Callithrix jacchus: one gene and its partner. The protein of the gene in region 1 purifies or fractionates together with the protein of each later gene. This does not show direct contact. Links are inferred from orthologs where the notes say so. Each region holds a gene or a part of one and is shown in the gene's direction. Other genes may lie near its edges.

What was found.
Region 2: the proteins of KMT5C (region 1) and CBX3 purify together in Homo sapiens (affinity purification with western blotting; 3 studies listed by BioGRID and IntAct, with this or other methods). This does not show direct contact. The link is inferred for Callithrix jacchus from reciprocal best matches to the Homo sapiens genes KMT5C and CBX3.

What each region holds. Positions count from the first base shown.
Region 1 is NC_133523.1:48,210,965-48,214,874, forward strand, and holds the start of KMT5C (histone-lysine N-methyltransferase KMT5C), read left to right. Parts: upstream 1-1,602; 5' UTR 1,603-1,670; exon of another isoform or gene 1,671-1,856; intron 1,857-2,718; 5' UTR 2,719-2,824; intron 2,825-3,491; 5' UTR 3,492-3,634; coding exon 3,635-3,744; exon of another isoform or gene 3,745-3,910. UniProt on the Homo sapiens protein: Histone methyltransferase that specifically methylates monomethylated 'Lys-20' (H4K20me1) and dimethylated 'Lys-20' (H4K20me2) of histone H4 to produce respectively dimethylated 'Lys-20' (H4K20me2) and trimethylated 'Lys-20' (H4K20me3) and thus regulates transcription and maintenance of genome integrity.
Region 2 is NC_133512.1:31,891,427-31,895,236, reverse strand, and holds part of CBX3 (chromobox protein homolog 3), read left to right. Parts: intron 1-1,320; coding exon 1,321-1,483; intron 1,484-3,810.

The sequences.
Region 1 (3,910 bases):
ATTATTATTTTTTTAAATTGCATTTTAGGCTTTGGGGTACATGTGCAGAACATGCAAGATAGTTGCATAGGTACACACGTGGCAGTGTGATTTGCTGCCTTCCTCCCCTTCACCCACATCTGGCATTTCTTCCCATGCTATCCCTCCCCAACTTGTATTTTTTTTTTTTTTTTTTTTAGTAGAGACGGTGTTTCTCCATGTTGGTCAGGCTGGTCTTGAACTCTCAACCTCAGGTGATCCACCCGCCTCAGCCTCCCAAAGTGCTGGCTGGGATTAACAGGCATGAGCCACCGTGCCCGGCCAGGCCCCAAGATTTATAGCTACCCGGTGGACTGCATGTGTGACGGTGATCCTATAAAATTATAATACCGAATTTTTACGGTACCTTTTCTATGTGTAGACACACAAGCGCCTACATTGTGTAACCGGACAGTAACATGCTGCACAGCTGTGTGGCCCGGGAGCCCCGGGCCACCTTCCAGCCCAGGTGTCAGCAGCCCTGCCACGTAGGTGTGAGTGAGTGAGTGGCTCTAGGATGCTGGCAGGATGACGACATCGCCTGAGCACGCTGCTCGGATGGTATCAGTGTGGTTAAGCGAAGGATGGCTGTGGCGAAAGAAACACACAAGCAAACAAAGACCGCCTGTTCTGAGTGTGGAGCTTATTATTCTTGGCGTAATTATGATGAATTGTTAGTTACGTTTGCCTCCAGGGTTGAGGTGGAGAGGTGATCCCAATTAGGGGGTGCCCCAGGGGAGCGCCCCAGAGACAGCGCTTGTCTCTAAAGCCCCCACTCCTCCCTCAGCCTCCCCTCCATCCGACCCCGTTCATATCGCGGGAAAGTCCCACAGAGTTCCTGTGGATACTCCCAAAACGAAACGGCGTAATCGGGAAGGGAGGGAAAGAGACAGTAGTCTGGGAGGGAGAGAGACTGGGGAGCCCTTTGTAGCCAGGTAGAGCTGTCAATAAAGTTTCGTCGCCTTGGCAACCACAGGCCTCGAGGGGCGGGAGGGGAGAGGGACGGCGGTGCGCGCGCATTCCCCGCCTCCCTCACGCCCAGCTCTGGCTTTCTCCCTCCTGCGGCAGAAGCTTTCCTAGGAGAAAGAGAATAAGGAGGCCGCGACTCTATGGTTGATGGACGGAGGCTATAGCTAATGGAAAGAGGGGCTGTCCCAATGCCAGCCAATCACATACGACTACCGGAGCTGGCAGAGCCCGCCCTCTTTCCACTTGGACCTGAATAACCCGACCCAATCCGAATTTCGCCGGGAGCGACTGCGCTTTCGGCCAATGAGTGCGTCCATTTCGGGCTTCAGTGGGGGCAGGAGGCGGGACAAGTCTCCAGGGCAGCGGCTGAAGGACAGCGATGTGAGCCACTCGCAAGAGTACGCGGCGTTTGACGGAAGCGGGGGCGTGGCGGGATTTTATCGGGCACTGACGAAGGACTGGTGGGGAGGGAAAGAGTGGGGCTTGGCCAATGAGAGGACCGTGAGCTTCATAGCAACGGAGGAGTGGCGGTGGCTTTAGCCAATAGAAAGCCTCAGTGGCCTTGGCGGGGCGGGCCCAGCGATCAGATGGGAGGTGCGGCGACAGTGTTTGACTAGAGCTGAAGGAGGCAGTGGGAGGTGTTGGCGGCGGCGGCGCGGGCGCCTGAAGAGGAGGAGAAGCGGGTGAGGGGCGGCGCGGGGCCCGACCTCTGAGCCCCCTGACGGCCCCAGCCCCGCGCCGCCTTGGCTTCCAGTTGCTCCCTGCCCCGACTGCCCCCCACCCCGCCCGGCCCCTCCTCGTGTCCAGGCGCCCACGTCTCCTGTCCCCTCGCCAGGCCTCGGGCTCCGCAGCATCGCAGCCTCCTCCCTGTGCGTTCTCACCCGGGCCTCTTCCTGACTCCCTTATCACGTCCACGGCCCTCCCTGCACCCTCAGGCCGCCTCCTGCACCCCTGACCTCGCCCTCCAGGCCTCTTCCTGCACCCCCAGGGCCTCCCTGCACCCCCAGGACCTCCCTGTCCCCTTTCTCACCCCTGCGCCCTCCTCGCACCCCCAGGACCTCCCTGTCCCCTTTCTCGCCCCTGAGCCCTCCCCGCACCCCCAGGGCCTCCCTGTCCCCTTTCTCGCCCCTGCGCCCTCCCTGCACCCCCAGGGCCTTCCTGACCCCTTTCTCGCCCCTGCGCCCTCCTTGCACCCCCAGGGCCAATACCTGACCTCCCCCCACCCTCCAGGCCTCCTCCTGCACACTCTAGGTCTCTCTGTGCCCCAGAACCTCTCGCTGACCCCCTGTCCCTCTCCTCGTTCTCTCTGGACCCTGAGGTCGGCCTCTGACCCTCCAGGTCCCTTGCCCTGGGCTTTCACCGCCTACCCAGGTCCTTCCCTAGGGTCTCCCTTTCCGGGGTCCCTCAGGACCCCACAAAGCCCTGTCTGGTTCCCGGGGTCGCTGTCTGCCCTCTCCGGCCCCTCACTCACTGGACGCCCAGGCACTTTGCCGTCCCCCGTCTTGTTCCTCCCTGGGTCTCTAGGCCTTCCCCCTGTCTCTGTCCTTCCTGGCACCCCCATCCCTTCCTCACATCCTCTGGGCACCCCCAGGCCGGGCTGCAGCCTTCTCCCTCCCGCGGTCCCCTGCCGTCCCCACCACTGTGCGTCTCTGTCTTTGCCCCCAGCCTCCTTTCCAGCTCCCCCGCCGTCCCCGGCGCCCTCCTGCAGCGCCCCCTCTTTCTCTCCCGCAGCCTCCCAGTCTGTTCCCGACCCCTCTGCCGCCGTCTCTGCAGCTCCCGCTCCTTGCCCTGCCCGGTCTCATTTTCTCCCGGGCGCAGATGAGCCTTGGGCGACCTGGTGCGGGGACACGACTGGCCGTCTGTCCGCGTTGGGGTTTTGGGTTGTTTTCTTCCTCTCAGTTCTTTCCTTGCTCTTTAAAAAAATTTGTTTGTACATGCTGACCTGTGCTGCCTCCCCACCCCTGCTTTTGTCCTCTGAGCCCCCCTCCCCTGGAATCCTTGGAGAGGGAGCAGGTGCTGGGATCCCTCCCCATGCTCTCCCTCCCCACACCCCCCTCACGCTGCCTGGGGTTTCACCCGGAGCCTCCCGACCACTCCCGGAGGCTGCCGGGGAGGCAGGGGGCGGAGACCGAGGCAGGGCCGCGGTGGGGGTGGAGGGCGGGACCTCCGGCTGGCGGGAAGCTTTGACTTTTCCTCCTTGAGGGCTAGAGGTGAAGCCGCTCCCCACGGTGCTAAGCCTTTAGGGTGATCCTGGCTGCCAGTCAGCCTTTCCTGGGCCGGTAGAGATATGTGTGTGGAGGGTGTCTCTGTGCACATTGCATGGGTGTGCCTGGTGCCGTTTGCACGTGGGGGCTGTAGTCTGCGCTGCAGAAGGAGAGGGGATAGAGACGCTAAGGTGATGACTGACATCACTCTGGGTTTCCCCACTCTCAGAAGTACTTGCTGCGTTCCATCTTTGCCAGCAGTCTGGCGAAGTCAGCACTGCTTTTCTCCCCATTTTGCAGATGAGGTCTTGGGGCTCGCCAGCATCCCCCACCGCTTCTGAGTAGCGTAGGAGTGGAGTCAGCACCAAGCCAGGCTCCCCACACCCGCCTTGCCCTCACCTGCCCCTGCTCTCTGCCAGAGGCAGCATGGTCCGAGGGGTACCATGGGGCCCGACAGAGTGACAGCACGAGAACTGTGTGAGAACGACGACCTGGCCACCAGCCTCGTCCTAGACCCCTACCTCGGTTTCCGCACCCATAAGATGAATGTCAGGTGAGGCTGCCTGGGGGTGAGGGTGGGCCCGAGGGGTCAGGACCCCTCCCCTCGTACCACGGCCATCCCTCAGCCCGCTTCTCAGCCTGGTCCTCCCCTCAGCTCCAAGTGGGGGTTGGGGCCGGGGCCCGGAAAGGCCCTGGGACCCAGGCATGCCTCTCCCCCA
Region 2 (3,810 bases), on another chromosome or scaffold:
ATCTCAGCACACTGCAACTTCTGCCTCCCAGGTTGAAGCAATTCTACTGCTTCAGTCTCCTGAGTAGCTGTGATTACAGGCGCCCATCCCCAGCCCAGCTAATTTTTGTGGTTTTTTTTTTTAGTTGAGACAAGGTTTCACCATGTTGAGCATGCTGGTCTCAATCCCCTAACCTCATGATCCAGTTACCCCAGCGTCCCTAAAATTACTAACTTCATCACACCTAGTTCTGTAAAGGTTTTTTTGAACCAGAGCACGAAGTTGGCAAGCCGGTTGTTGGTGTAGGGTGATCTTACTTTCACGTCTATTAATTGATACTCATTTTCTTTTTTACAGCAGTTCTAAAAAATCCATAGAAATAGTCATCTCAGCCTTACATTGTATCAGGGGTCAGCAACCTTTCCCCCTAAAGTGTCATGTAGTAATTATTTTCTGCTTTTCGGGCCACAGGTCTCTTGTCTCTACATCTCTGCTCATCTAAACGGATGAGTGTGGATGTGTTCCAATGGTACTTCATTTGTGGGCACTAAAATTCAAATTACGTATAATTTAGTTTGAAATATTTTTCCAACCATTTAAAAACGTAAAAATATTTTTAGTTTGCAAACCATACAAAAGACTGGATTTAGCTTTTGGTTTACCAGCCCACTCTATACCATTTCCCAATTTGAACACCCAGCAAAAATTGAAAATGTCTAATGCTTCAGAATCATTATGTCTTAAAACATGGCATTGGAGGTCCCAACCCTAGACATGATATGACATACTAATTTGGGGTGGGAATTGGGAATTTACATTTGTTCAGCCGTTTGAATTATTCTGTTACAGTAAAGTTTACTTCACTTGGAAGTAAAATAGCAGATTTCTCTCAAAAGACTTGTCGGGCCTGGGTGCAGTGGCTAACACCTGTAATTCTGGCACTTTGGGAGTCCAGGGCTGGAGGATTACATGAGACCAGGAATTTAAGACCAGCTGCGAGAGACCCCTTCTCTTTTTTTTTTTTTTAAGTGTTTTAAGTTAGCTGGGTATGGTGGTGCATGCCTGTAGTCCCAGCTACTGGGCGAGTGGGGAGTGGGAGCTGAGGCAGGGGATTGCTTGACCCAGGAGTTGGGAATCTTCAGTGAGCTGATCGCATCACCGCACTCAAGTCTGGGCAACAAAGCAAGACCCTGTCTCCGGGGTCGGGAGAAATAAAATGTAGGGAAGGAGGAAATGATTAGTATCTGCAGTACAGAGGACTTTTTATTTCCCCAGGTGTCTATTAAAATGGATCTGGGTAATGGGGATGAATCATGTTTAATTGAATTTTTTTTTTAACAGTGCTGACAATACTTGGGAACCTGAAGAAAATTTAGATTGTCCAGAGTTGATTGAAGCATTTCTTAATTCTCAAAAAGCTGGCAAAGAAAAAGATGGTACAAAAAGAAAATCTTTATCTGACAGTGAATCTGATGACAGCAAATCAAAGAAGAAAAGAGATGCTGTAAGTATACAGTATTGCCTAGCAGCCTGTCCGTTTGTAAAAGGTTGATGGCTTGATTGATTGATTTTGAGACAGTCTCACTCTGTTGCCCAGGCTGGAGTGCAGTGGCGCAGTCTTGGCTCACTACAACCTCCCCGTCCAGTGCAAACTCCTGACCTCAGGTGATCCATCAGCCTCGCAAAGTGCTGGGATTATAGGCGTGAGCCACTGTGCCCGCCTGATGGTTTGGTTTTTTAAAAACTCAGGCTGGGCACAGTGGCTCAAGCCTGTAATCCCAACACTTTGGGAGGCCAAGGCGGGTGGATCACCAGCCTGACCAACATGGTGAAACTTCATCTCTACTAAAAGTACAAAAATTAGCCAGGTGTGGTGGCACATGCCTGTAATCCCAGCTACTCAGGAGGCTGAGGCAGGAGAATCGCTTGAACCCAGCAGGTGTAGGTTGCAGGGAGCTGAGATTGTGCCACTGCACTCCAGCCTGGGCGACAGAGTGAGACTCTGTCTCAAAAAAAAAAATCTCAACTACTTTTCTAAAAGGCCTCTTAATTCTACTTTAAATATTTTAATACTTAGGGCAATAAGAATAGGTGTGGTTTAGTCTACATTATGTAAATGTGCAGTAAGTGCTTATACCACTTGGGCAGTTTTTCTTAGTTTCATGGAGTTGATCACTGATCCAACCAATCACCCGTGATCCAAGGCTAGCAATCTTTAGTACAAACAATACTAAGATTGGATTATTGAAAGCCATTGTATTACAGTAAGAACAATGTAAAGAGAACTTTCTGATTATAGTTCATTAATGGCATTGACCATCAAAAAGTACTTGTGTGTCATCTTAGTATTGCCAAACAATGCACTGATTTTGAAGTATATAATCTTCGATAATAAAAACTGTTACACATATTCTTGGCATGAAATGAGCTATTTAGTTCCTTCAGTATACATATGCTTTGGTCCAATCTTTGCTTCACTTATATCTCTGTGGCTTCAGAAAGTCAAGTAACCTCTTACTTCTACCCTTGACTGTAAAACTAGATTATACTTGTCTTGCCTACTGACCTAGTATGGCAATTTGGGGAGATATCTTTGTGCTGAATTAGATTCTAGGCTCTGGCACTAAACAGACAATACATATTAATTGGTAAGGACTTGGGATTTGAAACTTGATCATTTGAAGTAGAAGCCAAGAAGTCTTACCTTCATGACAACTCATTGTGTATAAGGTCATAGGTATAGTCACTATTTTATGGATGAAGAAATGAGATTGACTATATATTTGGTTCTGAAAGTAAATCATGTGCTCAACAGAAGCACAGTTTTGGCCAGGCACAGTGGCTCGCACCTGTAATCCCAGCACCTTGGGAAACCAAGGCAGGAACATTGCTTGAGCCCAGGAGTTGGAGGACAGTTTGGATAACATAGTAAGACCCCGTCTCTACAAAGAAAAAAATATATCAGTCAGACGTGGTGGATGCCTAGTAGTCTTAGCTACTTGGAAGGCTGTGGCAGAAGTATTGCTTGAGCCTAGGAGATCAAGGTGCAGTGAGCTGTGATCATACCAGTGCACTTTGGCCTGGGCAACAAAGCAAGACCTTGTTACAAAAAATTATTAGATAATCGAGCACAACTTTAACAATACTTTTTGAACTGTTACCATTTGCCATACTGTGTTCCAAATCATTTGCATTTCATGTGCTGTGAAATACCTATGCAGTAGATACTAAAATTCTATTTTATTAACCTTACCACAAAGAGGTTAATTAACTTGCCCAAAGCCACACAGCTCATGAGCAGGGTAGGTCTGTCATTCTCACCCAGGCAGTGTGACGCCAGAGCCTGTCACATTGATATAAAACTCTGATGGGGCGGGGCGTGGTGGTAGCTCACACCTGAAATCCCAGCACTTTGGGAGGCCAAGACATACAGATCATCTGAGGTTGGGAATTCGACACCAGCCTGACAAACATGGAGAAACCCTGTCTCTGTTAAAAATAAAAAATTAGCCGGGTATGGTGGCACATACCTGTAATCCCAGCTACTTGGGAGGCTGAGGCAGGAGAATCACTTGAACCTGGGAGGCAGAGTTTGCAGTGAGCCAAGATCACACCATTGCATTCCAGCCTGAGGGACAAAAGTGAAATTCTCAAAAAAAAAAAAAAAAAAAAAAAAAAAAGATAGGGGCTGGGTGCTGTGGCTCACGCCTGTAATCCCAGCACTTTGGGAGGCTGAGGCAGGCGGATCACGAGATCAGGAGATCGAGACCATCCCGGTCAATATGGTGAAACCCAGTCTCTACTGAAAATACAAAAATTAGCTGGGCATGG